Linked DNA regions of Elephas maximus indicus. The main gene of each other region encodes a partner of the protein of the gene in region 4 in a complex. Links are inferred from orthologs where the notes say so. Each region holds a gene or a part of one and is shown on either strand. Other genes may lie near its edges. The genes, in order: ARID1B, SMARCD3, DPF1 and SMARCA2.

What was found.
Region 1: SMARCA2 (region 4) and ARID1B share a complex: the UniProt entries of both Homo sapiens proteins name them as parts of the neuron-specific chromatin remodeling complex. The link is inferred for Elephas maximus indicus from reciprocal best matches to the Homo sapiens genes SMARCA2 and ARID1B.
Region 2: SMARCA2 (region 4) and SMARCD3 share a complex: the UniProt entries of both Homo sapiens proteins name them as parts of the BAF complex. The link is inferred for Elephas maximus indicus from reciprocal best matches to the Homo sapiens genes SMARCA2 and SMARCD3.
Region 3: SMARCA2 (region 4) and DPF1 share a complex: the UniProt entries of both Homo sapiens proteins name them as parts of the neuron-specific chromatin remodeling complex. The link is inferred for Elephas maximus indicus from reciprocal best matches to the Homo sapiens genes SMARCA2 and DPF1.

Annotation. Positions count from the first base shown.
Region 1 is NC_064819.1:228,892,380-228,899,924, forward strand, and holds the start of ARID1B (AT-rich interactive domain-containing protein 1B), read left to right. Parts: upstream 1-4,311; 5' UTR 4,312-4,337; coding exon 4,338-6,008; intron 6,009-7,545. UniProt on the Homo sapiens protein: Involved in transcriptional activation and repression of select genes by chromatin remodeling (alteration of DNA-nucleosome topology).
Region 2 is NC_064838.1:11,925,050-11,932,454, forward strand, and holds the start of SMARCD3 (SWI/SNF-related matrix-associated actin-dependent regulator of chromatin subfamily D member 3), read left to right. Parts: upstream 1-4,328; 5' UTR 4,329-4,784; coding exon 4,785-4,862; intron 4,863-7,405. UniProt on the Homo sapiens protein: Involved in transcriptional activation and repression of select genes by chromatin remodeling (alteration of DNA-nucleosome topology).
Region 3 is NC_064829.1:113,379,455-113,386,986, forward strand, and holds the start of DPF1 (zinc finger protein neuro-d4), read left to right. Parts: upstream 1-4,235; coding exon 4,236-4,267; intron 4,268-7,532. UniProt on the Homo sapiens protein: May have an important role in developing neurons by participating in regulation of cell survival, possibly as a neurospecific transcription factor. Belongs to the neuron-specific chromatin remodeling complex (nBAF complex).
Region 4 is NC_064827.1:8,528,025-8,535,789, reverse strand, and holds the start of SMARCA2 (probable global transcription activator SNF2L2), read left to right. Parts: upstream 1-4,454; 5' UTR 4,455-4,666; coding exon 4,667-4,835; exon of another isoform or gene 4,836-4,853; intron 4,854-4,888; exon of another isoform or gene 4,889-5,174; intron 5,175-7,765. UniProt on the Homo sapiens protein: ATPase involved in transcriptional activation and repression of select genes by chromatin remodeling (alteration of DNA-nucleosome topology).

The DNA.
Region 1 (7,545 bases), on a different chromosome or scaffold from region 4:
GGCAGTCAACAGCAAGGCTCAGTTACAGGGATTGCTGACCTATGGGGAAGTCTGAGCTTGCTCTAAATTGGCCAAATCCTCCATGAGGTTCAAGGGCAGCCCTTAGTATATTTTAGTGCAATTGTTAATTGTTTGTCTCCTTTATTAGACTCTGACGCCCTTCAAGACAGGAACCAGGTAATGTTTATCTTTTTATTTTCAGGGCATGACAAAGCAGATTCTAAAGAAATTTGTTGAATGAGTAAGTGCTAGTTTATCCCCATCCAAGTTTACCGTCCTCATTATCATATTCTTAGTAAATATAATGATGCAACTGGTTTTCCTGGTTCCCAAATTTGTTAAAATTATTTTTTGCCTAGACTTTTCTCAAATGCTACAATTGCTTTGCATACTGAATTTATGGGCCCCTGTTAATTTGCATCGTTGTTCCAAATCAAAGGCTATATCCCATATCTTGCAATTACTCAGTGTTATTCACTGCTAATGTCTAAATCGGGGAAGTGAAAGGGACAATTGTTTAGTACTTTTTTAAGTCCGTGACCAAGATCAGTAGGGAAATCCCATCAGCTCCATTCATTGCATGTCTCATAAATCTAAAAGGGAAGCAAGTATCCAAAGCCTTATTCTTTAATAGTTCTTATTTGTAAATCTTGACAGGGCTTTATTCTAAATTGCTTCCAAATTATGCAAAGAATACTGAGAAATATGATGGGTAGTGAGTCGTGATAGTTTCAGTCACCGAAGAAATAAGTCGAACAGTAAAAGGGGGCTAATCTGAAAGCAAACAGCGTAGGATGGGCAACGAAGAGGTAAAAAGAATGGAATTGTGGAATTCTTAAACTACCATCTGGCTCAATCCTCTTTAAGTGGCCACGCTGAAGTGTCTTTTATTCATTGCCCCAAAACTTATTCACAAGGAGCAGTTATTTGAATATTAATATTTCCATATAATAAAAAACCCTTTTTGTAACCAAGAAGGAATGTTTAGCAAAATAATGGGTAATCCTCAGGCTAAACACGAAGGCGTGGGGAGCAATCTGTGGTTGGGAGGTTGCTGGAGGCGAGGCCTGGCCACTCGGCAGCTTTTGGGCCTGTACCACCGCGGGTCTTTGTGGTTAGAGTAACTTATTAAAGTTGTCATTATGGTTTGAAATTTAGGCAAGAGGTGTAAAAATAAGAAATTCACTGGGAAAAATGAACTCAGTGATTGCTAGTACCTTATTTCTTCCCAAAGAAACCCAAACAAACCAAAACCAAAGCCATTGCCTTCGAGTCAGTTCCGACTCCTAACGACAATATAGGACTGAGTAGAACTGCCCCATAGGGTTTCCAAGGCTGTAAATCTTTACAGAAGCGGAACGCCACATCTTTCTCCCAAGGGACAGCTGGTGGGTTCCAGCTGCCGACCTTTCGGTTAATAGCTGAGCACTTAACCACTGCACCACCAGGGCTCCTTCCAAAAGAAACAATAATGTAGAGTTGTCATATAGGATAATTGAGGCAAGTGACACAATACGAATGCTCATCACTAGCTGAAAGTGTGCTTTTGTGAGATCTGAAAGTATTTCATTACTTGATAGCAGACCCCTGACAAGCGCTGTTTTGTTTCTTAAGCCCTGTTTTTATTTTTATTAATGAAACTGTAAGAGGCTTTTATTTTGTCTTCCTGGAAAGGTGTTTGAAAAGTGTCAGTTGAGTAAAATATAAGGCCACTACTTATCTTCAGCAAAGATGCTAAAAAAGAGGTATTGGAACATTTTTCTGTGGTTTCAAAGACAAAACCCAGTCCTGCTGGCTTTGTGTTGTGCTTCTCTTCCAGGCTGCAGTGCCTTCTGTCTGCTTCAGGGCGTGGCATCTGCCACTGGGGAGGAAAAGCTGGCATGCGCTGCCTTTTATAGCAGACTGAGTTCATTGTGCTGAGGGCCTCTGTTTCAGAGCCTCTTGGTTCCAGTCTTCTAGTTGACTTGCTGGAGCAAATGGAATGAAAAGACACTTACCGACTTACATACCTAAATTTTTTTTCATTATTTTTGTACATAAAAAAATTTTTTCATGAAAAGGGTCAAAGCTGAACTTGTTGACTCATTTTCCCTTTTAAGATCAGTTGTGAAAACAAGCCACAAAATATGAATTGACTTTGATATATTTTATCAATTGGAAGAAATGCAATTTTATGATTATGTGTATATATTCAGTTTGATGATGAATGTCTAAAAGCATAAATATGTAACTGACTTTATAGGAATATACACACAAACACAAAACAGACATGCAGTTATATTTGCATATGAAAAACTTTCAAAATTCAACTTATGTGTATAATTAGTATGTATTTGAATGTATAAAAGGAGAAAATCCAGGAGAAAATGTCAAAAAGGCACACTAACAAAGATGTAGTAGTCTCCTGGCAAAACTGATGAATGGTTTGGCATGAATTCATCTTACAGTTCTGTTATCCTCTCTTACACATGATGATGTGACCCTGGTTTTCCAGCTGTTTGCGGAGAATTGCAATTTGTCGTTTCCATGCTGGATAATGACCCTTGGGTGTGCACCTGATCTCCCCCTCCCACCCACAATTAGCCCCCAGTTTTTTCCAGTCTATCCCTTTTTTTTAGGCATGTAACATATTTACTTACACTTGGTGAGGCAAACAAAAATAACCAGGGCAGTTGAAACAAACTAACCTACTTCTGACAAAAGTTGGAGAATGAAATGATTTCGCAAAACTACATTCTACCAAAATCATACAGATTATTTCAGCCAGCTTGACCTCTTGAAAGCTCTGGTTTCAAATGCTTTCTCTTGATGAAAACAGAGTGCACACCAGTAAAAGGTAACCACTGCTTGGGTTAAGAGGTCCTGCTGTCAAAGATATCTAAACTAGTACAGTGATAAATCGGCAAAACATTTAAAACATTGTGAAGTGATAATAGATATTTTTTAAAGAACAAAATATGAAAGGTTTCTACTTTAGGATTTGATGGGACCATTTTATATTACTGATCTTATATTTATATTTATTAAAGACAATGTCTAGTATTTATTTTCGTTTTGTTTCCCATTACTCAACAATGAGCTCCTATCAGGAAGGTTGTTTACATTAACCTGTGAAACATGACGAAAGGTGCCACACGGATTTATGAAGACATGAGCTAAACATTAGCTGTTACTACGACGGCACTAGGAGTTAAGCTTTCGTCGGAAAGTTGTTTGGAGCATAACATACCACTCGACGTCTTTGAGGCTTTTTCCCTTTAAACAGAGGACATACACTTGTGGAGCAATTTTCATTGATAAGCCTAGAGGCAAATGCGAGGTGCCTTGAAAACTAGTTATATCAACAGTATCTTTGGGGCAGGTACAGCACAAGGAAAGCATTTATTGAGTACCTGCTGTGTACAGGGCACAGCGCTCCTGGAATTCACCGGAAACGTTTCCTCATTTTGCCGTTTGAAAAAGTTGTGGGAACTACGTGGAGGGACCAAAATCAAATCAGAGGGGCTAAGATTCTGAAAAATGACACAACTACTGGAAGACACAGTGCTTTTGCACAGATTACCCAAATATTTTTCTTTTTTCCGTCGGTTCTTCATAACCTTTGAGTTCGACAGACAACTTTGTTCCCGAGCCCTTTTCTCTCTTTTGTCTGCTCGTCAGACTCGTTTTCCACCTTTGTACCGTGCCTTCTCGATGGGAAAACAAACCGGCGAACGCCCGGTTGGCAAGGAGACCGAGGCCCGGGGAGCGTGCAGCCGCCCTCGGCCCGGCCGGCCAGCCCGGTGCCCGGCGACGTGCGCCCGGCGGGCGGCTGGTGGCGGCGGCGGCGCTGGCTGAGTCCAGTCCGCGTTTTGCGAGTGCGCGGAGTAATCAGAAGTGGATAATAGTTGCTCGGGCTCGCGCGGCTCCCTCGCGTGCCATGCTGGGCCCGATAGGCTCCGGCAGCCGTGTGTGTACCCATATCCGGGTTAGGGAGGAAAGGAGAAAAGTTTCATTTAAACCTGAACTCAAAACTTTCACCATGAGAGCCCACAGCAGGAACAGGCCCAGACCGTGAGGCTCGACCCGCTGCTCGTAAGGCGCCCGGCCGGGGGGGCTCGCCGGAGTCGGCGCGGGCGTGGGATGCGCGCAGGAGGGGCCGCGGCCTGAAGTCGGGTCCCCCCGCCCCGCCGCCAGCCTCGCGCGCCTCGCCGGCGATCATGGCCGCGCGGGCGGCGGCGGCGGCTCGGGCGCGGGCGGGCAGCAGCGAGCGGCGGGCGCCCCCCGGGCCGCGGCCGGCGGCGCTCGGGGCCCGGGACCCGGAGGCGGGCGCGCGCGGCGCGGCGGCGCCCGGGCCCATGCTGGGGGGCGGCGACGGCGGCGGCCTGAATAATGTGCACCACCACCCCCTGCACCCCCATAATGAACTGAACATGGCCCACAGCGCGAGCGCCGCCGCCGCCGCCGGCAGTAACGCCAAGAGCGGCGGCTCCGAGGCGGCTCTCAAGGAGAGTGCAAGCGCCGCCGCGCTGTCCTCCTCCTCCTCGGCGGCGGCGGCGGCGGCGGCGTCCTCCTCTTCCTCCGCCTCGGTCCCGGGCTCGGCCATGGAGACGGGGCTGCTCCCCAACCACAAACTGAAAGCCGTTGGCGAGGCCCCCGCTGCACCGCCCCACCAGCAGCACCACCACCATCACCATGCCCACCACCACCACCACCACCATGCCCACCACCTCCACCACCACCACGCACTCCAGCAGCAGCTAAACCAGTTCCAGCAGCAGCAGCAGCAGCAGCAGCAACATCCCATTTCCAACAACAACAGCCTCGGCGGCGGCGGCCACCACGGCGCGGGCGGCGGCGGCGCGGCTCAGCCGGGTCCCGACATGGAGCAGCCGCAACATGGAGGCGGCGGCGGCGGCAAGGACAGTGTCGTGGGCAGCCAGGCCGAAGCCCCGGGCCAGCCTCTGCTGAGCAAGCCGGGCGACGAGGACGACGCACCGCCCAAGATGGGGGAGCCGGCGGGCGGCCGCTACGAGCACCCGGGCCTGGGCGCCCTGGGCGCGCAGCCGCCGCCGCCGAGCGCCGTGTCCGGGGGCGCCGTGCCCGGGGGCGCCGTGTCCGGCGGCGCCGTGCCCGGGGGCGCCGGCGGCGGCGGCCCGGCGGCCGTCCCGGAGTTTAATAATTACTACGGCAGCGCTGCCCCTGCCAGCGGCGGCCCCGGCGGCCGCGCTGGGCCTTGCTTTGATCAACATGGCGGACAACAAAGCCCCGGGATGGGCATGATGCGCTCTGCCTCAGCCGCCGCCGGGGCCCCCAGCAGCATGGAGCCCCTGCAGAACTCGCACGAAGGGTACCCTAACAGCCAGTACAACCATTATCCGGGCTACAGCCGGCCCAGCGCGGGAGGCGGCGGCGGCGGCGGCGGAGGAGGAGGAGGCAGCGGAGGAGGAGGAGGAGGAGGAGGAGGAGCGGGAGCGGGAGCTGTGGCGGCGGCGGCCGCGGCGGCGGCGGCAGCAGCAGCAGGAGGCGGCGGCAGCGGCGGCGGCTATGGGGGCTCGGCCGCGGGGTACGGGGCGCTGAGCTCCCCCCGGCAGCAGGGCGGCGGCATGATGATGGGCCCCGGGGGCGGCGGGGCCGCGAGCCTCAGCAAGGCGGCCGCCGGCGCGGCGGCGGGGGGCTTCCAGCGCTTCGCCGGGCAGAACCAGCACCCGTCGGGGGCCACCCCGACCCTTAACCAGCTGCTCACCTCGCCCAGCCCCATGATGAGGAGCTACGGCGGCAGCTACCCCGACTACAGCAGCCCCAGCGCGCCGCCGCCGCCGCCGCCGCCGTCGCAGCCCCAGTCCCAGGCGGCGGCGGCGGCGGGGGCGGCGGCGGCGGGAGGCCAGCAGGCGGCCGCGGGCATGGGCTTGGGCAAGGACCTGGGCGCCCAGTACGCCGCCGCCAGCCCGGCCTGGGCGGCCGCGCAACAAAGGAGCCACCCGGCGATGAGCCCCGGCCACCCCGGACAGCCCATGGGCCGACCCCAGGTAACGCGCCGGCCGGGCCTGCTTCCGCCCGGCGGCCTCGCGCGCTCGCGGCCCTAGTTTCTTTCTTTCGGGTTTACTTTTTTTCCGTCTCCTCTCGGGGGGAGGTGGGGGCGAGATTCCGGAGCCATTTCGCTCGCGGCCGCCTCGCCCGGGAGGCCGGGGCGCGCACAATGTCCGCCTCGCGGTCCGGCGCTCGGCGGGGACGCGCGGGCGGGCCGGCGGCACCATGGAGGCGGCGCACCCCGCCCCAGCCCCCAGGCCTGCGCTCGGCCGCGGGGAGGCAGTTGGGGCGGCGGGGCCGGCTCGGGCGCTTTGGTGGGGCAGCCTTCCCCTCGCCAGTGGGTCCGAGGGGAACGGGGACCGGATTCCCTGGTTAGCGCTAGCGCTGCGCTTTAACTAGAAGGACGGAGAACTTTCTCCACCTCCAACCACGTCGCGTGGAACGGCAGGGGAGGTGAGCTAGCTTCCTGACCAGCCGAGTGTGCGGCTCCTGGTTGTGGAGAACCGCCTGTAACTAGAGCACTCGCGGATGTTCGGTGCGGCCTGCCGGCCTGAACGTTGAGGAGCGAAAATAATACCGAAACGTGCAACTGCGTGGAGGCAAAATACTCTAAAATATATCGATTCCTTCCTAAGGACAGCCAGTGAGATCCATCTTTCGGCTCAGGGGCAGCCCGAAAGGAGTCACCTTCACAGAGGCTGTGTTCAAGGACCACATTCCGAATAAATCGAACTTGTTTTGGTCGAGGATCCTGCAAACCTTTTATTAGGCAAATCCAGTAACATGCCAGACCCGTGGCAGTGAGCTATTTGGGTCGTATTTATTTGGATTTTCTGTGTTCCGCTGTCACCCCAGCCCCACGACGTTATTGGGAAGTGTCCTGCACTCTGGCTGTTTCTTGCTGGTAGGCTGAGCCTAAAGACTGACTCGATCTCCTTTGCGAGGTTTGGAATTTGAATTGTGGAGGTAAACTGGCTGTAAGAGTCTCCAGACAGCTGCCTCGGAGTTGACATCTAATCCGCCATCTGATTGGCTCCCCTCTCACCATTGGGCATTTAGCGCTGCTGATGTAAATAGACGTGCTCGGCAGTACAGTCACAAAAATCCTTGCCACAAATAATAACCCAGCTCTATTGCAAGCAGATGTAAGGTTGAATATGATTTAAAGCTTCATTTATTATGAGTCGGAGTTATTAATAAGAAGATTAAGTATATAAAAACATTATGCTGGTGTCTAGCGTTGAGCATTTGCAAAATTAAGTTCTTTGATGACAACCTTTCAGTATGAACATTGCATAGATCACGGACTTTAATTGTAGGGTGAGGATATGTTAATTGAAACATAAGGAAACCAGGAATTTTTAACCAATTTTTGGATTCAGAAAGCTTTTATGGGATTCGTAAAGCTTTTCTAAAAGCCTGCCCTTTACAGATTTGACCATGGGGGGGGGAACAATTGAGCCGTATTAGAACACATATTTAATATAAAATTAAAAATTTCAAGCTTCTGATAACGCAGCAGTATCATTTGGTGAT
Region 2 (7,405 bases), on a different chromosome or scaffold from region 4:
TCACAGGAGGCACTCAGCCCCAAAGCCCCAACTCTCCCCTCCTGGTGTTTGCAGTTCTTGTGGGGCAAGCTGGGGGATCATGGAGCATCCCATTTGCCTGAGAAGAGAGAAGGGAGGACTTATTCACTCAACTAGCCTTTACTCTAGAGCCTGCTCTAGAGCCCTGGGACCCCAAGGTAAACTCTCATCCAGGCCCGCAAGGACCGGAGAGATATTTGTAAGGGCCCTACAAAGGTATGTGTGATAAGGAACAAAGCAGCCACAGAGGGATGCATGGGGGAGAAGGCTGGGAAGAGGCGTCCCTGAGGCCTTCACAGAGAGGGTGGTGCTGATAGCAAGAGCAGAACCACTGCCTGCTCTGTGCCTGTCCCTCTGTCCGTGGGTGTCTTTGTACCTGTTTCTTTGTGTCTCTCTGGTGTCTGGCTTTCCTTCTCTCCCCCTCCCCTCCATCTGACTTGGTTCCTGTCTCTGTCTGATGGAATAATTGGATTTCAGAGTAGAAAGGGCCCTCAGAATCCTCTGACCCTGAGAAAGTTGAGGGACAGGGAGATACAGCGACTCACCCAAGGCCACACAGCTATCCTGGTGTCCTCCCTTTTCTTTGTTGCTGCATGTGTTTGCAAAACTGACACAGAAAGGCAAAGTCACACCGAGACAGACAGCCCTAATAGCAGCAGCAGGAGTCCCAGCCCAGAACGTTCTCACATGGAAGGGCTCTGGGAGAGCAGGGGAGTAGCCAGAGGGGAGGCATATGACCTGATGCCCCTTTATTCATCTCTGGGGGCTGGGCAGGGCTCCAAGGTCTAGCCAGGGTGCCTTGGGCCTAGGGCCTGGGACTTAGACCAGGCAGGTCACTGGCATGTACCGGGGTTTAGAGACTGGAGGGGAAACTGGGGGCCAGGGCCTAGAGGTTCTCAACACAGAAATGGAAAGGGTCTGTTAGCCCCAGAGCTTGAAGAGTCTCTCTTTCTTTCTCTCTCTTTCACACACACACCCCCCCCAACACCCCAACTCACAAGCATGCACGCCAGGATCTGTGAGGGTAATTCCATTCCGTGGGCATGCTATTTTGCTGGGGTCTAGGGTCGCTAGAGTCGGAATCCACTCGATGGCACTGGGTTTGGTTTTTTGGTTTTAGGGGAAGGGACGGTAGTGACAGGTCTCTCCGAAGCAGTCCTTTCCCCTTCAGTCTCCATTTCCTTTGTTCCTTCTTCCCCTCCTCTCCTTCCAGCCTGCCTTCTCCCCTTCCAGCCGGCCCCTTGCGCCCTCCTCCCGCCCTTCCCCTTGCCCTGGCCTGCGTCCCCGCATCGGGACTTCCACAGAAGCTGGGGACGGGGGGACCGGCCCGCCAAGGCCTTGGTGGCCGTCTTCCGAAGGGAAGGAGTTAAGTGCCCGCATCCCTCCCCCTCCGCCCGTGCCGCCGCGGAGTCCTGCCGCTAGGCCCCGGGCTGACCTTCACCGCGAGGCCGGCGCGCATGCCCGGCCGGCGCCGCTGCCCGCCCGGGGTCCGCGCCCGGGCGGAGGAGCCCGCGCCCTGCCCGCCGCGGCGGCGGCGGCGGTGGCGGCGGCGGCGGCGGGGGCGCGCCATCCCGTCCCGGCAGGCCACGGCCGCATCTCCTGCGTGGAGAGAGGCGCGTTGCCATTTGGTGCCGGCGGTGCTCAGCGAGGGAAGGGGAGATGGGGGGACGGCAGGGGGGACTCCGGCTCCGGCCGGCGCGACGTCGGCCGGCCGAGCCAGGCGCCTCTGCCGGACACCCGGCACCCTGCCGCCCAGAGTGCTGCCATTTAGACTGGGGGACGGGCCGCCCGTGGGATCTGGGCTTTCCTGGTCAGCCGAAGCCTGCAGCAGGCTACGCTGGAGCGTCCTTCTGGGCCAGGCTCTTGGGGAGCTGGCCCCTGCTCTCTCCGCCTCAGCTTTTTGGTCTGAAGGCTGCCCGTGTCCGCACAACCATGGTCGCCCAAGTAAAAGCAGCATGCACACAAGTCTGCTGGCGCGTGCTTCGTGAATTCGGGCCTCTGTGAGTGTGAGGTGGAAGTGGTCAGGGTGTGCCCATGTGTGTAAACCCCTGTGCTCCTTCCTGTCCGCCTGCATCTGCATTACTGTGTGTGTGCATGGGAAGCGGAGAGGGGCAGGCATTGTGTATCTGTGCGCGAATAAGGACGTTTCCCAGCGGAGCAAAACCAGTAGAGGCTGCAGGAGAAGGCCTGATCCTGACACTGGGAGGGGGGGCTTGTACCTGTGAACTTGAGTGACACTCCCCAGCATCTCCCCACTGTCATCACAGCCCTTGGTTCAACCACCTCCCACAACCCCCTCCACCGCCAAGATCAGTTAATTACCGCCCATCCTCAAGACTTGATCTCGGAGTCTCCCAACCCCATCACAAACGTGGGGTGCTCCCACCCTCCTCATGCTTCTCCCTCAGCTCCCAACTGCCCAAGCTGGAGTGTCTGTCCCACCTCTTGTGCTGACTTCTTCCTCTCTAAAGAGGAGCTGAGAGCTCTGAGCTTTGCGCAAAGCCTAGACGTGTCTACCCTCCCATTCCACCAAACCTCCAAGGCCAGTTGATTTAGCATGTTCATGCTAGAAGCACCCACAGGGGCTGGCGGTGGCCAATGTGAACTCCATCCACTGGTCCACAGAGTTTTGAGTGCTCGCAAATGTCATCAGGCAGCATTTGTATTATCGAGTCCCTGTGCCCAGGCATGGGGGTAAGAGTGGGACTTACAGACCAGTCCGACTTCAGGGAGCGGCAGCCTATTCAGTAACACCAAACCTAACACACATGAAGTACAGGGCACATCATTCGTCACCCCAGTGCCAATGCACGGGGCAGTGTGGATGGACAACAGGCCTTCAGAGAAAAGAGAGATCCATGTGAACAAGCGGGATCTGGGAAGGCTTCCTGGAGGAGCTATGGCCTGAGCCAGCTTTAAAGGATGGGTGTGATGTGGACCAAGGGGAGGTGGAGGGCATTCCAGGCAAAAGCATGGGAGAGCAGAGGCTTAGAAAGGGAATCAGGGTGGACATTTGGAGAGTAGTGGGTAGACCGGAGCTTTGGCAGTGTGCCCCCCAGGTTACCAGCAGCCACTTCCATGGCCTGTGGCCAATGGAGGCCCCCCACCAGGGCCCATTCTCTCTGTATGTGGGTCTGGAGGAGATTTGGTAAGAAGGGGGTCTCTAGGTCCCCTGCCAAGCCAGGGGTAGAGGAGGGGCACCCTGGATCCGGATACCCTCTCTGGCCCTCTGGGGCATTGGTGGGGGCTCATAGATGGACAGAGGCAGCAGGGAGCAAAGCCAGGGTCCAGGGTAAGTCAGGCTTCAGGCAGCAAAGACCTGGGCAGCACACTGCCCTGTTCTCTTTGTTCCGTGTGTGGAAGGTATGGTGGAGGGTTGAGGGTCAGGAGCCCCTTTGGTGTAGTAACAGGTCTTCAGAGGAGAACTGCTAAGCAGTTTTCCAACAAACTCCCCCAGGCACTGCCCCGCCCTCACCTGGATCTGGACGGCACAGCCCCACGAAGCTGTCAGGTTGATCCAAAGCTTGCCTCAAAACCCCACGGAGAGGATGAGAGAGAGGTGTGGCCTTTGGGAGCATGGGCGGGGCCGGGCTCCAGCCTGGGGAGCTACGGTTTGCCTCTCCTGTTTCCTGTCCCTTCTCCACCCCCACACCACCCCTTCTGGGGTTCCCTCATAGCCGCAGCCCCTGTTTTCTCGGGTCTTGAAGGTGGCCCCACCATCTCCAGCTGTCCCAGCTCCTCCAGGTCCACACCCATACCCCACAGCCAGGCCAGAGTGATGCTTGCCTCATTCTTTCCACCCACCCCGGCTCCCAGCCTTCCCTCGCATTTTCTCTTCCTGTTCTCATGAGCTCCATCCCTGTCCCTCTTTCCCAGATACTTCCCCTATTGCCCTCACTTTCTCACATAGCGACAAAGACTCACATACCCAGAAATAGACTCACACAGAGCTGAAAGGCAGGGCCGGTGTCATGCCACACACACACACACGCACACACACGCACACACTCACACACCAGAGGCTTTCATGGAGGGAGACACATAGAAAAGGCATTTGTCTGTACACACACCTAAATAGCCACAGCGCCTTGCCCACAGAGGGGATAAGCACACGCTGTGCGAGACAAGGGCACACACATCCGTGGACACGAGACCGCCGCCTTGGCAGGCACCGCACTGCCCCTCGCCCGATGCAGGAGGACAGGCCTCCTCCAGGCGCAGTCCCCCCCACCCATCCCCCCAGTCCTTGCCAGTGAATGTTCCCGCACTGGCCTGCCAGGTCTCTGGGGAAAGGGCTTCAGAAATGCAGAAGGAGCCACTGGGGGGAAAGTTGGAACGGGCTGTTCCCTGCCTGGCTCTGCCGGCGAAGTCCCTCCCTGAGAGGGCCACTTGCCGCGGAGAGAGCCCGCGGGGCCGCCCCGCCCGCCGCCTCGCAGACCGGCCGCAGTCGGCTCCGCGCCTCTCGCTTATCTGCGCGCTGTTTGCACGGCGAGGGCTGCAGGCCGGCTCTCGGGCGGCCGAGTAAACAGCGCGCGGGCGCCCGGACTATTTCTGTCTTATCGGCGCAGGAATGCGGCAGCGGCGGCGGCGCACGGGCGGCGTGGCCGTGGGCCGTCAGGGCAGCCCTGAAGGGGCCCTCCCCGCCCGGCTCGAGTAGAAGTGTGAGCGCCCAGCAGGACTCGGAGGGAGAGTTGGAGGAAAAAAGGCAGAAAGGGGAAAGAAAGAGGAAGAGAGAGTGAGTGAGCTCCGCCGCGGAGCCCACCCCGATGGCCGCGGACGAAGTTACCGGAGGGGCGCGCAAAGCCACGAAAAGCAAACTTTTTGAGTTTCTAGTCCATGGGGTGGTGAGTGGGGGAAAGTTAGCGGGGGAGGGTGCGTGAGCTGGCGCGGGCTGAATGGAGGGATGGCCGGGAGGGGCCAAGGCGGCCCGCGCTCTCGCCCCCAGCCCAATCCCGGCCTGTGCCCGCGCCCTGGCACGTGAACACGTCGGCAGGCAGGCGGCCGGCCGGCCGGCCAGCCGGGGATGGGCGCGCAGGCGGGAAAGGGAGAGGCGTTTGCCTGGGATCTTGTCAGGGGCTGGAGGTGGGACTTGGGGAGTGTCCCAAGTAGGGGGCCCCTTGAGTATCAGACACGGTGTCTTCCCTTCTTATCCGTGCGGACCCAGGTTTTTCCCCTGCCCTGGGGGCGGGGTGGGGGCTATGGCATTGACTGAGCTGGGCTGTCTATTCATCGTTGGGACAGTGTCTCTCACTGTATCTTGGGAACAAGGAGCAGGTGACCCTGGAGCACTGTGGCAAGAAACTGCTATGAATGCCCTCCGCATCCGCATCCTGGCAGAGGGTTATGGGGCTTTACTGGGGGTCTCTTTCATCAGGGTCAGCTAGAGGCCCTTTCTAGGGGCAGACCCCTATTAAGGGGCCTGAGGGACTCCTTGCAGAAGTGGATGTTTTCCAAGCCTCAAAGGTGTGAAGGAAGGCCTAAAGATCAGGGGGACGGAGCAGCAGGATGCTGTCACAGGGAGGCAGCCAAGGCATATAGGGAGCCCAGGGCAACCAGGAGGCTGAGCTGAGTCAGCAGGGGCCAGGCTGGGTGTGAAGAGGGCTGTGAGAATGGGAGGGGATGACTAGGGAGATGGTAGGGGCTCCAGCATGGGTGGCAGGGGGAGGGGTTGGAAGTTGGGTGTACAGGAAGCAGACAGGTTTACTATGGCTGAATTTGTCTGTGACCCCAAGGAAGGCATTTTGTCAGTGAAGGAGGCCAGAGTCCCTAGAATCTTGGCCTTTTGTGGAGGTGGCCTGCTGGCTGGAACCGTCTCTGGGGATTCTGGAAGCCTCGAAGCCTCCATCTCGGGCCTCATCAGCACATCACTGAGTACCTGGCCTTGATGAATGGGGAGAACAACTGATAGAGAGGAGGTGCTTCCCTGGGGCAGTCTGTCCTCCAGCCCCGGGATCTCTGGGGGTAACTTCCTGAGAGAGGGTGTCAGCCAGCCAAGTTAACAGTACAAACCTTGCTGCTTGGGGGTGGGAGTCCCTTTAAAAAGGTCCCTCAAGGAGGGGAGAGGTAATATATGTGAATTTCTTATATGACCACCTTAAAGCTTCAGTTTTGGGGTGCCTCTGAGCCCCCACAGCCTACCCCAACTCCCAGGGACCAATCTATGCTGGGGAACTGGCCTGCTGCCACCCTGGAGGTGTGAGTGACAGGGTCAGGTGGGACAGGGGAGGCAGACACATGCACAGGCAGGTTTCACCATGGGAGAGATGGGCAGAGACAGCTGGCTGGCTGGGATGGGAGGTTAGGGCTAGGCTTGACGGGACAGGAGGGACAGCTGGCAGTTGAAGGGGGCACAAGCCCAGGGTCAGGGCGTCTCCTCGCGTTTAGTGGCAGCTGTAGTCCTCTGGGTGAAGCGGTAGTGCTCAAATGATGAGGACGGGGAGCCTCTGCATTCCTGCTTCCTGGTCCCCTTCCTTGCTCTCTTTACCCGTCCGCATTCCACCCACCCTTTACATTTTGGCCCCTGAAACTCCCTCTGGCCCTCCCTAGCCCCTCTTCTGGAATCTGGACAATTGGGGCTGACAAGCCCATGGAACACTGCACTTGATGCATTTGCATCTCATTTACATTCTATCTGACCACCCAGGGATTGCTGACCTCATCTCCTTCTCCATGTGCCCCCCACCCCACCCCCACTGTGCACCCTGACTTCTGACCTCACTGGGTAGGCTTGAAAGGTAGAGGAGGTCCATAAGGATGGGACCTTCCCTGTTGATCTCAGCGGACAGCAAGAGAGGGATGGATGTAAGACCTACCCCAGGCCCACTGGCAGCCCCTTCTCTAGTCCTCTGACCCCTCCCCTCCCAATCACAGCATCCTGGCAGGTCTGACCTGAGCCCAGGCTTCGCAGAGACAAGGTCAGCTCCTGCTCTGCCTTCAGTCTTCACCCTGGGAGCAAATTATGGGGGTGGGTTAAGTTAGTGAAGCTAACTGGTACCTGAGTATGGGGACTGGGAGTCAGTCCCAAGGGAGTGGGATTGAGCAGGGGCCGCAGAGAGATGGGGGGTCGAGATGAGGAGAGGTGAGTGCAAGGCCAAATAGCCAGCGAGTGAGGGTGGGGAGGAGTGCTAGGAAGGGGCGGCAGCAGTCAGAGCAGCCACAGCAACAGCAGAAGCCCCAGCCCCCTCAGAAAACAGGGGTCTGTTCGCCTCTACCGGGATGAGCTTCGTGACCTTGGCTAGGTCGCTTTTCTCCTTGAGCCCCAGTTGCCTCATCTGTCAAGTGGGGAAGAAAGCCCGTGCTCCGTCTGCCTCACAGAGGAGCCTGTGGATGTGAAAATATGCTTTAAAAAGGTTGAAAGGCGCCATTCATATTCATTTTTGTGGTCCCT
Region 3 (7,532 bases), on a different chromosome or scaffold from region 4:
AGCAGAGGGTCTCCCAGTGATTCTGGGTCCACAGGGAGGTTAGACCGTGGTGACCAGGTTCCGGGCAGGGTCTGAGGCCCAATGTGGGGCTTAGTGTCTCCACCGGGGACCGACCCCAAGCCTGCCATGTCTCTCAGGCTCTCAGGATTCCAGTCTGAGAATTCTGGAGCAGCCTCTGGGGCACAAAGACTAGAGCCACAGTGCCCTCTGGTGGCCACATCCTTGGTCTCAGGGTTTGGGAGAAGGCCCAAAGACTGGGACTTCCAGGATCAGCGTTGGCCTCCAAGGCTGAGTAACAAGATTAGGGATCAGGACCCGAAGAGGTCGGGACAGGAACCCTGCCCTGTGAGGTCAGAGATTTAGAATGCTAAAGGATTCACAAACAGTTCAGCCGTCCCCTCCTCTAGGAAGCCCTCCGTGACCCCCAGGTTAGGTCAGGTGCCTTCTCTGGACTCCCACATCCCCTTTTATTTCCCCCACGCCAGGCCTGATCCCTCTGCCTGTGCCTCCCTCATCCCAACCCTGACCCCTCTGGGCTGTTGTTGTCTGCTGATGGGTCTGTTGCCCCACTAGATTGTGACCTCAGGACAGAACCTGGGGTTGTCTCCATCAGGGGGTGTCCCTAGCATGATCACACAGGGCTGTGGTCCATAAACCAAAAAAAAAAAAAAAAACCAGCCAGTTGTCAGGTCTGTTCTGACCATGGCAACCCTAGAGCCCTGGTGGCACAGTGGTTAAGTGATATGGCTGCTAACCAAAAGGTCGGCAGTTCAAATCCACCAGTCCTCTAGGATCGCTATGGCTGTGGATCTGTGGTCCATAGCACTCCAGAAATTAGTGAGTGTGCTTAACCTTCCCCTTTGAGCTTCAGCTCCAGGCCCTCTGCTGGGCAGGATTCCTTGATAGAGTTCCCCTGCTTCCGTTGTCCAGGTCTCCATGCATGGGAGCGCACAGCCTGGGTCACCTTGCTCTCACCCCTCACCAGTTGCACGCCTCAGGGCTGGACACTGGGCATAATGAGTAATTGGTTTCATTTATTTATTCAACAAATACTAAAGAAAACAACAACAACAACCAGTTGCAGTCAAGTCGATTCTAACTCGTAGCAACCGCACTTGTGTCAGGGCAGAACTGTGCTCCACAGGGTTTTCAGCGACTGTGATCTTTCAGGAGTGGACGGCTGGGCCTTTCTTCTCAGTGCCTCTGGGTAGATTCGAACCATCAAACTTTTTTCTTCTTTTCTTTACTGTGTTTTAGATGAAGGTTTACAGAGCAAATTAGTTTCTCATTAAAGAGTTAATGGACGTATTATTTTGTGCATTGGTTGCCAGCCCCGAGATATGTCAACACTCTCTCCTTCTCGACTTTAGGTTCCCCATTTCCATTTGTCCAGCTTTCCCGTCCCCTCCTGCCTTCTCGTCCTTGCCCCTGGGCTGGTGTGCCCACTTAGTCTTGTGTACATGGTTGAGCTCTGTGTATTATCGTTTGTTTTATGGGCGTCTCTAATCTTTGGCTGAAGGGTGAACCTCAGGAGTGACTTCAGTGCTGAGTTAAAAGAGTGTCTGGGAGCCGTACTCTTGGGGTTTTTCCAGTCTCTTTCGGACCAGTAAGTCTGGCCTTTTTTTGTGAGTTAGAATTTTGGTCTACATTTTTCTCCGGCTCTGACCCTCTATTGTGATCCCTGTCAGAGCAGTTGGTGGTTTTAGCTGGGTACTCTCTGGTGCTGGACTCGGGCTGGTGGAGGCTGTGCTAGCTGTGGTCCATTAGTCCTTTGGAGTAATCTTTCCCTTGTGTCTTAGGTTTTTTTCATCCTCTCTTGCTCCAGACGGGGTGGGACAAGTTAGAACCACCAAACTTTGCAGTTAGTAGCCCAGTGCTTAACCGTTTGTACCACCGAGGGACCCCATTTAAAAAACAGCACCTACTATCCGTCAGGCCCTGTTCTAGTCAATGTGGAGACAGCAGTGGATGGGACAACATCCCCACCCTCACACAGCTGATATTCTAATAAATGAAGACAGACAATAAACCAAGTAACCAAATAGATACAGGACATGATGATGGGCTATGATAAGTGCTTGGAAGAAAAGTAAAGTAGCTAAAGGGGCAGAGCTGTAGGGGATGCAATGTTAGCTGGTGTAGCCTTTGAGGAGGTGATATTTAAGTAGAGACCTGAATGAAGTGAGTGATGGAGCTATGCAGGTACCTGGGGAAGGAGCTTTCTAGGCAATGCAAAGGCCTTGTGGCTGAAGCAGGCCTGGACTATTCCAGGAACAGGGAGGAGGCCAGTGTGGCCAGAGCAAAGTTAGTCAAGGGAAGAAGGAGGGAAATGAGGTCAGAAATGTGATGGAGGTTCGGGGGGATTGAGAAGGCCCTTGAGGGCACCGTGAGGACACTGCATTTTATTCTAATTGTGAAAGAGGCCGTTGGAGGTTTTGAGCTGGAGAGTGGCGTGCTGTGATGTGTGTTTTAGGTAGCCTGCTTTGGCTGCCATGGGAAGAACAGACCGGGAGCAGGGCCAGAAACCGACGATGGAGCCGCTGTGATAGTACAGGCGGAAGACAATGTGGAAAGGACCAGGATGGGGGTTAGGAAGTGGAGAGGGGTGGGTGGACTCTGGATCCATTTTATGAACATAGAGATGACAGGATTTGCTGATGGACTTCCAAAAGAGAAAAGTCCGGATGATGGATTGCACTTAGAGCAAAATCCATTCTCTGTATAATGGCCTACGAGGCCCTACATGATCTGGGTCCTTTCTCTCTCCCCAACCTTGTCTACCCCTTCGCTCACTCTGCTTCAGCCACACTAGCCTTGCTGATCTTAGAATGTGCCAACCTTGCTCCCACTTCAGGGTCTTTGCATTTGATGGTCCCCTGCGCCTGGGCATGTTGTGGTCCGTTAGTCCTCTGGGCTGATCTTTTCCTTGTGTCTTTGGCTTTCTTCATTCTCTCTTGCTCCAGATGGGGTAGGACCAGTTCGAACCACCAAACTGCAGTCAGTAGCCAAGTGCTCAACCGTTTGTGCCACCGAGGGACCCCATTTAAAAAAATAGCACCTACTATTTGTCAGGCCCTGCTCTAGGCACTGGGGAGGCAGTAGCAGATGGAATAACATAGAGGTGACATTCTAATGAAGAAAACCAACCAAAACAAACCCATTGGCGTCGAGTCAATTTCAACTCATAGCAACCCTACAGGAGAGAGAACTGCCCCTTAGGGTTTCCAAGGAGCACCTGGTGGATTTGAACTGCCGACTTTTTGGTTAGCAGCCATAGGTCTTAACCACTGTGCCAGTAGGGTTTCCTTCTAATGAACAGAGGCAGACAACAAACCAAGTAACCAAACAGATGTATGATATGATGACAGGCTATGATAAGTGCTTGGAAGAAAAGTAAAGTAGTTAAAAGGGACAGAGTTATAGGGGATGCTATTTTCAGCCGGGGGGGCTTGCACCTTCTCAGGTTTCAGCTCAAATGCCACCTCCTCACAGAGGCCACCTTCTGCTCAAATCAACCTGTTTTGTTTATAGCACTCTCTCTCTCTCAAATGATCTTATCTATTTCTTTTCTTGTTTATTATCTGTCTTTCTTCAGTAGAATGTCAGCTGCTTGAGGGCAGCGACTTTGTCCGCTTTGGTCACTGCTGTATCCCCAGCGCATACAAGAGTCTGACATCACTGAATGAACGAACGAAGACATCAACTAACCCCTGTGCTTGACGACAGCTGGCTTACACAGAAGAGGCACCTGGACCAGCAGATACAGACAAAAATACACGACAGACTCGGGTCACCCACAGACTTGGGGAGGCCCAGAAGTGGAGGACCACCTGCGCCAGCGCCCGAGATGCCTGGAGGATGGGGAGCGCGAGTCGGGGATGGAGCATCCCCAGGGAGGGGGACTGAGCCTCTGGGGGGCGAGCCCCGCCCCGCCCTGTATCCCCAGCAGCCAATGGGCGCGCAGTCCTCCCGGCGCCCCCTGGGACGTGTAGTCCGGGCACGGGCGCCCTCGGGCGCCGTTGCGCGCCCCTGGACTCCACGTCCCGTCGTGCGCCTGGAGGCGCGGGGATTGGCCGAGCCCCGCCCCCGTCCCGCCCCGCTCGGCTCGCGCCGCAGCCCCAAGAATGAATGAAATCGTAGCGCGCTGGGCGGCGGAGCCGGCGGCGCAGGCCGGGCTGGGCCCGCGCGCGGCGGGAGCGGCGCCCCGGGCCGGAGGCGGCCCCGCCGAGCGGGCCATGGCCACCGCCATTCAGAACCCGCTCAAGTCGTGAGTCCCCGCAGCCACCCCCGCCCCCGCCCGGAACCCTCCCAGGAGCTCTTCCCCCACCCTCGCTGGGGAGGGGTCGCAGCGCGCAGACCGCGGTTCGAGGCCCCCCCAGCACGTCCCCTGCCCCTGGGGGCCCGGCGCCCCCTGTCGCCCCCTGAGTTACGGGCGGGAGCCCCTTCGGGGCCGCGGGGGCGCCTCTTCTTTGTCGCTGTCAGTGAAGGAATGTGGCGCGGGCTGGGGGCGGGGGGCGGAGGCCGAGTTTCCCCACCCAGGGAGTTAGGGGCTTCCCCCTCCTCCACCATCTGTCTGGGGCCCCCCGGCTTGGGTCCCGACCTCGGTCTCCGGGGTCTCCACCGTTCTCTTTCCCCTCATCAAGGCGCCTTTCTCTCTTTCCTCCCTCCTTCTCCCGGGTCCCGGGCTCAAGCGGCTGCAGGGTGGGGGCTGAGGCTTCGGGGGTCCCCGGTTAGATCCCCGCTGCATCCCCCTTTTCCTCTCCGGGTCTTAGGCCTGGCCCAGGACCAAGAAGCCCCGACACTAAGGTCAGCTTAGACCGGAGGATCCCTTCCCCTCCTCGCCCATACACATCTAAAGGGAGCCTCCGGAGGGGGTGCTGGGAGCGCCCTCGCCCTCCGGGGATCCCTTCCCTTCCTCCCTGCCCGCGTCACTGCTTGCAGCGTTAGGTTTCTCCTGTGCCCAACGCCGTGGAGCCGGACGCCTGGGTCCGCGCCTAGCTCCCTCTCGTCCCTACCCCTCCTTGCCATTGCTCGCTCTCTCCGCCTCTCCTCTTCCCTCTTCGGGATCCCGGACTCCCGGGTCCCGGCATTCCCCCCTACCCGCGCCCCTTCCCCAGGCGGTGACAGCGGGCTCGGAGTGACAGGCGCGGCCGCTCCCGTCCTCCCTCTCTGGCAGGCGGGCGCAGCACTCCCCTCCCCCTCCTCGGCCTGGGAGGAGGCGGGGGGCGAGCTCCCGCGGCGCCGCACAAAGGGGCCGGGACGACCTCCCCCACCCTTCCCCCAACCCCGCGCTCGCCTCCTTGACCTTGAGCAATGAGTGCAGTGGGCGGGGGCGGGGCGGGGGGCGGGAGGAGAGGAGAGGGAGTGACCCCGAGAAGGGTGGCGCGTGGTGGCTGGATCAAAGGGCTCCCAGTCGCTTCTGGCAGGGGGAAGTTGGGAGTGGAGGGTGCGTAGGGGGTGGGAGCTTATAGGCACAAGCCGTCAAGTGTGGCTTGGTGAGGGCCAAGAGGGCTTGAAGGGGGTGTATGGGGCCGGGGTCAGTGTGCTATGGTGTGTGCTTCCTTTCCACCCACACCTGCACACACAGGCAGATGCCTCTCCTACGAGGGACACCCTTACACTAGTTGGGAACAGGGTTCCCGTGCCTGGTGGTGGATTACAGGCATCCTGGCTTCTGCGGGTGCCTGGTGGCCAGAGTGTGTGAGGCGGGCGTGCCAGCATCCCTCTCCGCTCTCCCCTTCCCAGGGGTCTGCACGGGTGAGGGTAGGGACTCTCTCCTGAAACAATATGAGAGTCAAATCTCCTTGGGAGCAGGGGGCTGGAGAGCGAAGCCCTCGGGAGTTCAAACCCCAGCTTGAGCCATTAATGCCCTCCCCGCCTCCAGCCTCAGTTTTACCATCCGTGAATTGGGGCGCATAATAGTTCTTTTGGAGCCCTGGTGGCGCAGTGGTTAAGTGTTTGGCTGCCGACCAAAAGTTGGCAGTTTGAATTCACCAGCCACTCCTTGGAAAACCTGTGGGACAGTTCTACTCTGACCTATAGAGTCATTATGAGTTGGAATCCACTCAAAGGCAACCGGTTTTTTCTTTTTGGTTTTATAGTTCTTTTTAACTCATGGGGCTGCTGTGAGGCTTAAATAAGGTGGTATTTATGAGCACTCAGTATAGCACCTGACCCCAGCTAAGTGTATGATTATTAGGGGTGATATCAATACTGGTTTCTATTGCGTCCAGCTCCCATACAGGACACAGAGGGTTGGGGAGGGGAGGACTGTTTTTGGACAGGGGAGGGACTGTGGTGTTCAAGTGTGTAGGAGAGCACGTGGGAGGGGTCTTTGGAGGTGACTTAGGGTATGGAAGGGGAGACGTCTTTCCAAGTGGCAGCCTGGCTCTGTAGGTTCAGATCCTGTTGGTGCACCTCTGGAGAGGTGATGGGTGTCTACGTGCGCAGGCTCCCCTGACTCAAACTGATGCAAGGTTTCTCATGTGAGGTGAGGGTGAGCTGGGTGTCTGAGATTGGAGGTGTGGGGGAGCCAGCGTGAGAGGGCATGCTGGTGATCTGTGCAGGGGGTGAGAGGTGAGAGAGGAAGGTGGTGGCAAGGGCTCCCTCTGAGGGGGCAGGGCTCACTGTGGAGAAGGTATCTGGGGTAGCCACTAGAGGGGCCTGGAGGCCTGAGTGAGTGTGGAGGTGGGGTGCCAGCATCTCTCACTTACTTCCCTTGTCACCTACTCTGGGTTAGGTGTGGAGCAGAGACCCCAATTGGGGTTATGTGGGAGGGAGGAGCAGTTTGTGGAAAGGATCTAAGAGGAGAGGTGCAGGGGTGTGTGTGGAGAAGTGATGGTGGGAGGGGGCATCAGGTTACAAAAGAGGCGAAGGCTAGAGTGCCTCCCCCTGTCTGCAGGAGTGCCCCCTGGGGGATGAGTGTGTTCGTGGGCATGTAGGACCACCACTTTTTCATCCCTGCAGCGGCTCCCTGGACACAAACTCTGAACCAGGCGGGCAGTGGGTGTGCGTTTGAGCGTGTGTGTGTGTGTGTGTGTGTGTAGAGGCTTGGCACGTGTGTGTGACCAGGTGGGTCAGTTCACTTTCTGGGAGTTCCTCAGGGTGGAATCTCTGTGAGTGACAGTGGGAGGCAGAAGGGTGTAAGGCCCACGTGAGGATGGGTGTCTGGATGAATGCACCGTTTTCTCAGTCCCACCTTCAAACAGCCACCAGGGACTGAGGGTTGTGTTATTACAGGTTTGTAACTTCTCTCATTTGGAAGATGGGGACATTAATAGTATGGCCCCAGAAGGTTGTTATGAGGTCAAATGAGTTAACCTCTGTAAAACACTTAGGACTGTGTCTAGTGTTACAGTCGCTGCTCAGGAAATGTGTTCTTTCAACAAATATTTACTGAGCATCTACTCTGCCTGGCAGTATTCTTTCTAATAATGATTAGTTTTTGCCAGTTTATATCTTAGCACATATCAGATCCTCCGTGAAATGGGTGCATTTATCGAGCACTTACTACATGCCTAACCAAAAAACCA
Region 4 (7,765 bases):
TACTTCATCATTTCTTCCTTTCACTTTTGCTACTCTGTTCCAAAACAAGTTTCAGAGTCTCTTCAGATACCCATTTTGATCTCTTCTTTCTTGCCTGTCTTTTTAATGATCTTTTGCTTTCTTCATAGATGAAGTCCTTGATGTTATGCCACACCTCGTCAGGTCTTTGGTCATTAGTATTCAATGCATCAAATCTCTCCTTGAGATGGTCTCTAAATTCAGATGGGAAATACTCAAGGTCCTACTTTGGCTTTCATGGACTTGTTTTCATTTTCTTCCTCTTCAACTGGAACTTGCATATGAGCAATTGATGTTTTGTTCCATGATTGGCCCAGACCTTGTTCTGACTGATGATATTGAGCTTCTCCACCTTCTCTTCCCACCGATATAGTCGATTTGATTCCTGTGTATTCCATCGGGCAATGTTCATGTGTATAGACATCTTTTATGTTGTTGACAAAAGGTATTTCCAATGCGTAAGTCATTGGTCTTGCAAAATTCTGCTATGTGATCTCCCGCATGGTTACTATCATCAAAGCTATATTTCCCAACTACCGATCCTACTTCTTTGTTTCTACAGTTTACATTCCAATAATCAGTAATTACCAATGCATCTTGATTGCATGTTTGATCAATTTCAGACTACAGAGGTTGGTAAAAAAAACTTCAATTTCTTCATCTTCGGCATTAGTGGCTGGTGAGTACATTTGAACAATAGTCTTATCAACTGGTCTTCCTTGTGGGAGTAGGGATATTATCCTATCACTGACAGCACTGTATTTCAGGACAGATCTTGGTATGTTCTTTTTGACTCTGAAGGTGACAGCATTCTTCATCTCTATATTAGTTGTAATTTATTAGGCAGTCAGAAGTTGGTTAGTATTTTTACCACACTTTTACTACATTGCTAACTTTGCTTAAGATTTCTCATTGCATATTTCCCTGTTAATAGTTATACTGGATGTCCTCAGGCAGAAAAACCAGTTCTCACAGCATACCTTTCTCTTAGATGTGCTACCTTTTGTTGTCTTGAGGTTTGCTTTGGGAGAGAGAAAATTATGAACCTAAAGTTAAGAAGCACGTAACAAGGCCTAGGAAAACTCTAGAGTGGGTGACAGTTGACACTCCTCACCACCATAAAATGGTGCCCTTGCAGACTGGGCCTAAGCCAGTAGTGGCCCAGCTATGTAAACAATCCAGGCCACTTAATGACCACAGGGAGCATTTGGAGTTCTCACCATTGTCTCTTGTCTTTGACTTATCCAGTCCATAATTTTGAGCATCCTAGAACTGCATTTCAGTCCTGACTGCTCAAACACAGTCAATTTTGCAACAGTAAAATGGTTTTAAAATAGGGTTTTACTCCAGAGGGAAGAATCCTCACCCAAGAATCACAGTGCACTTTGTATGATGAATTTAAGCCATTATATTACAAAATAAGGGATAAATCATATTTTTCACAACACTACCACATAGGAACAGTTGTAATTTTGAGAGTCAAGCATCTACATTAACCAGAGTCTAAAATAATAGACCCTCGATTTAAAATGTCCTCACATTCTTTCACACTTCATAAAGCTAAAAGTGAAATGGTCTCAGCAAACATTGACTTGTTGGTCCCACCAAAGTCCTGCTTTTCAAGGCAAAATTGGAACAAGAGATCTCTAAATCGCAAAGGGCCAACAGCTTACTGTGTGTAGCTGTTATTAGTCTTAATCGTGAGGTGGGGAAGAAGACACAGCGGTTTGCAGAGAATAAGAGATTTATTTCCCTTCTTAAATCAAACGCAGGTTCCATTCTCCAACTGCTCCCTAGCCCACTCGGGGCAATCGGGGTTGTTTACCATATTTTCGTGTATATTTTAGGTGAAGATGACAGGCGAGGGAAGGTTAAAGGGCTGTGACGAGTCCGCGGAGTAAACAGAGGGGTTCCAAACCGAAACCAAACCCATTGCCATTGAATTGATTCTGACTCTTACGGGTTAAGGAGGGCTTATTTATTTATAAGGCGTTCAGCCTCTCAGCTGTTTCTCCCTCGCTGGCATTGGAAAGCTCGCAGTTCTTTGGAGAAGAGCAAATTTGGCAGGAATGTTCTTTGTGCCCGCCTCCCTGTTTACAGGGGGGAAAAAGGAGCTGATTTAAAATTACAGCGCGGGGGGGGGGGGGCGGTGGAGAGAAAAAGTTTCCCCCGGCACCACAATGCCCCTTTTCCCCCTTGGTCAACACTGGGCCACCAACAAGCTTTTGGTGCCACCCGGAGCCCTCCCCCTCGTCCCCTCCCTTTCTCTCTGCAGGCTGGCTCTGGCAGGCGGAGGCACAGTTAAATTCCAGCACCTTCTCCACATAGTCCAAACTACTACGCACTATTACTGAGCTGCCCTTCTTTTCGCGGCGCCTCCTTCTCTCCTCCAGCCTCCCCAGAGGAGCCCGCGGCGTCCCGGGGGGAAGCCCTCCGGGGAAAGGACCGCGGGAGCCCAACTCCAGCAGGCTGGGGGCCGAGTGCGTCCTGCGCAGTGGATGTGCCCCAGGCACACGCGCGGCACTGAGCCGGCGCCTTGCAGACACACACTGTTCCACGCATACGGCCGAGCTGTCTCGAGCCACATTCTTGCACACCGCCCCTCCTCCCCCCCCGCTCGCCCGGAGTCGCTGAGCTGCGCGAGTGACAGGCTCGCCCGGCCAACCCGCGCCCGGGCGCGCAGGGAGGAACGGCGCGCGGGGCCAACAGCGGCGCGTCTTCCGGCGCCCGCGGAGGCGGCGAGGGTGGGACGCGGGGCGGAGCTCGAGTTTAGGAAGAGGAGGGGACGGCTGTCATCAATGAAGTCATATTCATAATCGAGTCCTCGCTCGCTGTTTCTGTACTCTGGGTGACTCAGAGAGGGAAGGGATTCAGCCAGCACACTCCGCGCGAGCAAGGTAAATATAACTTACAACTCCTTTCTCCGCGGTCCCCTCCCTTCGGCCTCCCAGCTGCCGCAGCCGCCGCGGAAACCCGCGGCCGCCGCCTGCGCCGGGGATTATGCATTATGATCCTAATGATTATTTATTGTGCATGCACGGAGACCAAAACAAACAGGCGGGCCGAGCGCCACAACAACAACAAAAAAAGCCCGCCTCCTCCCCGCGGGCCTCAGGTGGAATGCGCTAACAACAGCTCCCAGCGGCCGTGGAAGAAACGGGAAAGTTTCCACCGAGCTTGGCCTTGCTAATAATAACAGGGATCGCTACGACTGAAAGGGGGCAAGGAGAGACAACAAGCACCAAACCACAGCCTTGACCCTCGGGAGGAGGTGGCGATGCGCTGCCAAGTCAAGGTTGCAACACACAGACGCACACACACACACACACACACTCGGCAAGGTTGCAATGCCCCCAACCCCTTAAAAACCTGGAGAGAAGGAGGGTGGCAGGAGGATACGGGAGGAGGATGCAAACGCGACCATCCATCCCGAGCAGTCCTCCCGGGAGGAGTTGGAAGGGGCGCTGGAGGGCGAGGAGCTCGCGGGCGGCGGGGCGCCAGCGATCGCGGCTGCCACCCGCTCCCGGGGACTTGTTTAAAGGGCTCGGGCTGCAGGGACGTGAGAGAGCGGATAGCGGCGGGAGAGCCGGAGCTGGCGCGCCTGGGAGGCGACAGGCACTGCCGCCGGGCCGGTGCGTGCCGGATCGGAAGTGTCACCTCCACTTTCCTAGTTCCCTCGGGCGGGGATGGGGGCGCTGACTGGCGGGCAGGCCTGTGGGCACGGGGGCTAGCGGGGAGCTGCCTCCCGGGCGCTGCGGCAGTCCCTGCGCCCGGTTCCTGGGGACGGCGCGGGCTTGGGTGTTGAAGTTCAAGGTGTCCGGCTCGGGCCGCAACCTGGGAGGGAGGGAGGGAGGGAGAAGCCGGGAGAGGGAGGTCGGAGGTGCTCTCCGGGCTTGGTTTCATTGCCCTCCCCCTCCCTGGGTCTGTTTTCTTGTGCTTCAAGTCAGCCCCTTGCCAGCGCCGCGGGGAGCGCGGGCGTGGGGCGCCCGCGATCGTCCAGGTGCTGGGGGCACGCGGGGCCCGGGAGAGCCACAGCGGCTGCTGGCCGAGAGGCCATGATCCGGATAATCCTCTCTGCCTGACTGTCACAAACAGGACCCGCGCGCACCCGGGCAGCGGCGGTGGCGTTCGCCGGGTAAGGGGAAGGGCTGCGAGGGGAAGGATGGGGGGGTTGGCGAGGGCGGGAGGCGGGGAGACCGGGTGGGTGCCTCCTCCCAACGATGACACGCACCCCTTCCTCCTCGCTCCCTGCTTTCGAGTTTGCTTTATTCTCATCCCAACCGAGTATGCCCCTTCATCGGCTCTCCCTCGCCACCTGGCTGCCTGCCCTCCTCTCGTTGGCCTTGCAAAACACGGCCATGCCATCTGCAAAGGTGTCGCGATGCACTTCCCCAAAAAACCTGGCAGGCACGCCCGCCCCTTGGGGACCTCCGGCCGCAGGGCTCCCGCCAAGCCGGGTGCCCGGGGTGGACTGCACCGGGCCACGCAGCCCGGACGCGGTTGCCTGCGCGGGGCGGGCGCAGCAGTGCGGGCTCCGAGGACCCCTGAGCCCTGGCCCGGGCACTCGGGGCCGGTTTCCGGTGCGCGCGGGGAAATCGCCTACTGCCAGTGTCTGCGCGCTCGCCCCCGCCGCCTGGCTCGCCTTCTGATGGTGATCCGGTGGCCTTGCGCGGCGGCTGGTGGTGAGCACCCGGCTAGCCGGGCTGCCGGGGTGGGGCGGGGCGCCGGGAACTTGGCGGTGGATCAGGCTGGAAAAAAAAGTTTGGCAGGGCGGCCAAGTGCGGCGCAGGGCGGAGGGGCCGCGAGCCCCGCGGCCGGTGGGTACGCGCGAGAGTGTAAGTGTGTGCAGGGCTCGGGGAGCCGGCGCGGGCGGCAGCTCCGAGCCGGGGAGGCCCGAGAGGCGGGCGGGGGCCGGCGTGTGCGCGTGGCTGCGAGTGTGAGTGTGTGCGCGCGCGGGCGGCGAGAATCAGGAAGTCACCGCGGCGAAGCGCACAGACATGTTTGATCGCGGTGACATGACGCGCGCCCGGGAGGAAGCGGCGGGGGCCGGGCCCCGGGCGCGGGCCTAGCGCTCGCCACCGACCCCCGCGCCGGCCACCTAGGCGTCGCCCCCGCCGGCCCAGAGCCCCGCGCCGCTTTTTGTTCCGTGCCGCTAGGTAAGGAGCTTGAGCCGCCGCCGCCCGCTACGCGCGGAGCTCTCCGTCGCTTTCACTGCCGGCCCCCTCAGCTCTCCGGGCTGGCTCGCCTTTCCTGCAGAGTCAGGCCGGCGGGGTACACGGGCTGTCGGGGCTGCGATCGATGGCGTGGAAAACTTTCCAGCGGGAGGCTCCGGGGAGGGAGAAGCAGGCCTCGCCGACCACTGTCAGTCCCTCTTCCTTCAGTCTGGGGAGGAGTTCGAGTCGCTGCTCCCTGGGGCTGTTGCATGTTAAAACTTCGGGCCTAAATGCGCCTCAAACTCTCGCAGGATTTACTCCAGCCTTCAAATCAATGCTCAGAGCCGTCAAGTTGGCCTTGCCAGGCGTTTGGGGATTTTTTTTTTTTTTTTCCGGGAAGGAGGGAGGCGAGGGAGTGGGGGTGTTGTGCAGAATCCATTCCATCGTTAATGTCTGCACCGTGTGTTATGTAATTTTAGTAGCACATGGGTGCGGAGCCCACGCTGGGCTGCTCTTCTCCTTTGTTTATATAACTTTTGGGAGAGTTTTGCCAGGTTGTCGCCTTTTTCCCCCCTTCCCTAGCCTGGTGGAGGTTGGGGTTTTTGCAATAGCAAGCAGCCCGGGTTAGTGCTTCATGGAACGATGTCATTGCCCTCTGGTCATTATGGAGACACGTATTTCTGACTACTTACTGGAGGTGTAACGTCAGATCCAACGTGAAGAAATGAAAGATACACGTTTGCTGGTTTATTGCAGTGACTGGTTATTTTTAACATCTGTGTGCTACCAATTGCTGGGCTAAATTTTCAACTTCCATTTCAAAGCAGTTTTTTCTTACACCTGATTGTGTGCCTTGCTTGTATAAACAAAACGGATGTTGCTCGCCGGTTGAGTAGAAGAAAATTCTTGGCCAACTACCTAAGACTCAGAAAGGACTACCAAAATAGAGGCCATCTCCAATGTTATGTGTGCAAACATATTTATATACATATTCACATGTTTGCAGAAATATTTTCCATCAGTTGTTTTGCGGGGAGGGTATTGTAGGCTTGTTGGCCAACACTGGACTCCTAAGGCTTCCAGGCTAGGTCTTGCACTCTAGTGAAATGTTCAGAGGTGTGGCTGGTTGGAATCCCAGTTGGTGCACTGTTATGCAAATTGACACACACATTTTTTAGGAATCTAATTGCCTTTTTTGGAAACCCTGGTGGCATAATGGTTAAGTGCTATGGCTGCTAACCAAAGGGTCAGCAGTTCAAGTCTGCCAGGCACTCCTTGGAAATTCTATGGGGCAGTTCTAGTCTGTCCTATAGGGTCGCTATGAGTTGGAATTGACTCGATGGCACTGGGTTTGGTTTGGTTTTGGTTTAATTGCCTTTTTATTCTCCTGGACTTTTTTTTTTAGCTCCCCTATAATCTCTTAGATTCAAAAGATATTTATTGAAGTAGACTGAGAAATGCCCTGTGCATTAGAGATCTGTCTGCTTTGTTGGAGGCATGAAGGAGAGATGCCATATTACTAAAGACCATTTTAAAATGAACCAGGAGTTTGGGGTATGAGAACCCTGGAAGAACTGGCCCAGGAGAGGGAGAGCTTTCCTCCATGTGGCTGCCCCTCTCAGCAGCTGCGTCCAGCATCCGGACTGGCTGCACTGTGGTGTCTCAGAAAATATTCACCGCAACACTACGTTCAAAGCAGCCTTAGATCTTTTCTTTTGTTCATTTTTAAAGTGGTTTTTGAGCATTTCTTGTCAAGTTTCTTGAAAAGTGCTTTGACCAACACCCGAGGCCTGGCATTGCCAAAAAAATAAAAAATAAAAAGTGCCTCAGCTGGCATTATATTGTGAATGCTTGAATTCTGCTTAAAATATTATAACTAGAAAGTACTGCTGTGGCAGATAATGATTGTAGATGTTTTTTCTTTGATTAAGATAAGTCATTCTGCCGGTCAATATAAAAAAGGATGTCTCGTTTTTTTCCCCAGGAGAGTATCGTGATACCCCTCAGATTACTGGGATGTTTGGGCATTTCATTTTAAAGGCTTGTTATGGTGTTGTAACAAAACCATAAAAGAGAAGCGTTTCATAAATTATAAAAGTGGCGCTGTCCTCTGGTGTTTGCTGGTTTCTTTCTTTTTTTTCCTTTACAAGTCTTCCTTTGTAAACAAGGCCTTTGTTTGTCAAACTCTCCTAGGTCAGCAGCTTTTGGATACTCCAGAGAAATTTAAATCACTATTTATGACATCTTGACACATTGCCACGAGAAGGACTAAATTCTCACCAATATAACGCTGACGAGCATTTCTCAGCACCGGCAAATTGAGGGGGACCCAGAGGGCCTGATTTACTACCGGAAGTTTTGATTCCCGTTGTTCCAGGTCAAGATGGTTTTAAGGGAAGTGATGGACACTTAGTTAAGGCCTAACGAAGAGGCCTTGGAAACCTCTTCACTTGAGTCAAACTGCTTCAGTATTTCTGGTAAACAGATGAGCAGTGTTGGCCAGTGTGAGAAGCCACATTTGGGGACTATTTCTGAGTTTTTTGGTCATTTTTTTTTTTTTATGTGAAAGAATTATTTTCTAAATAGTTCCTTTG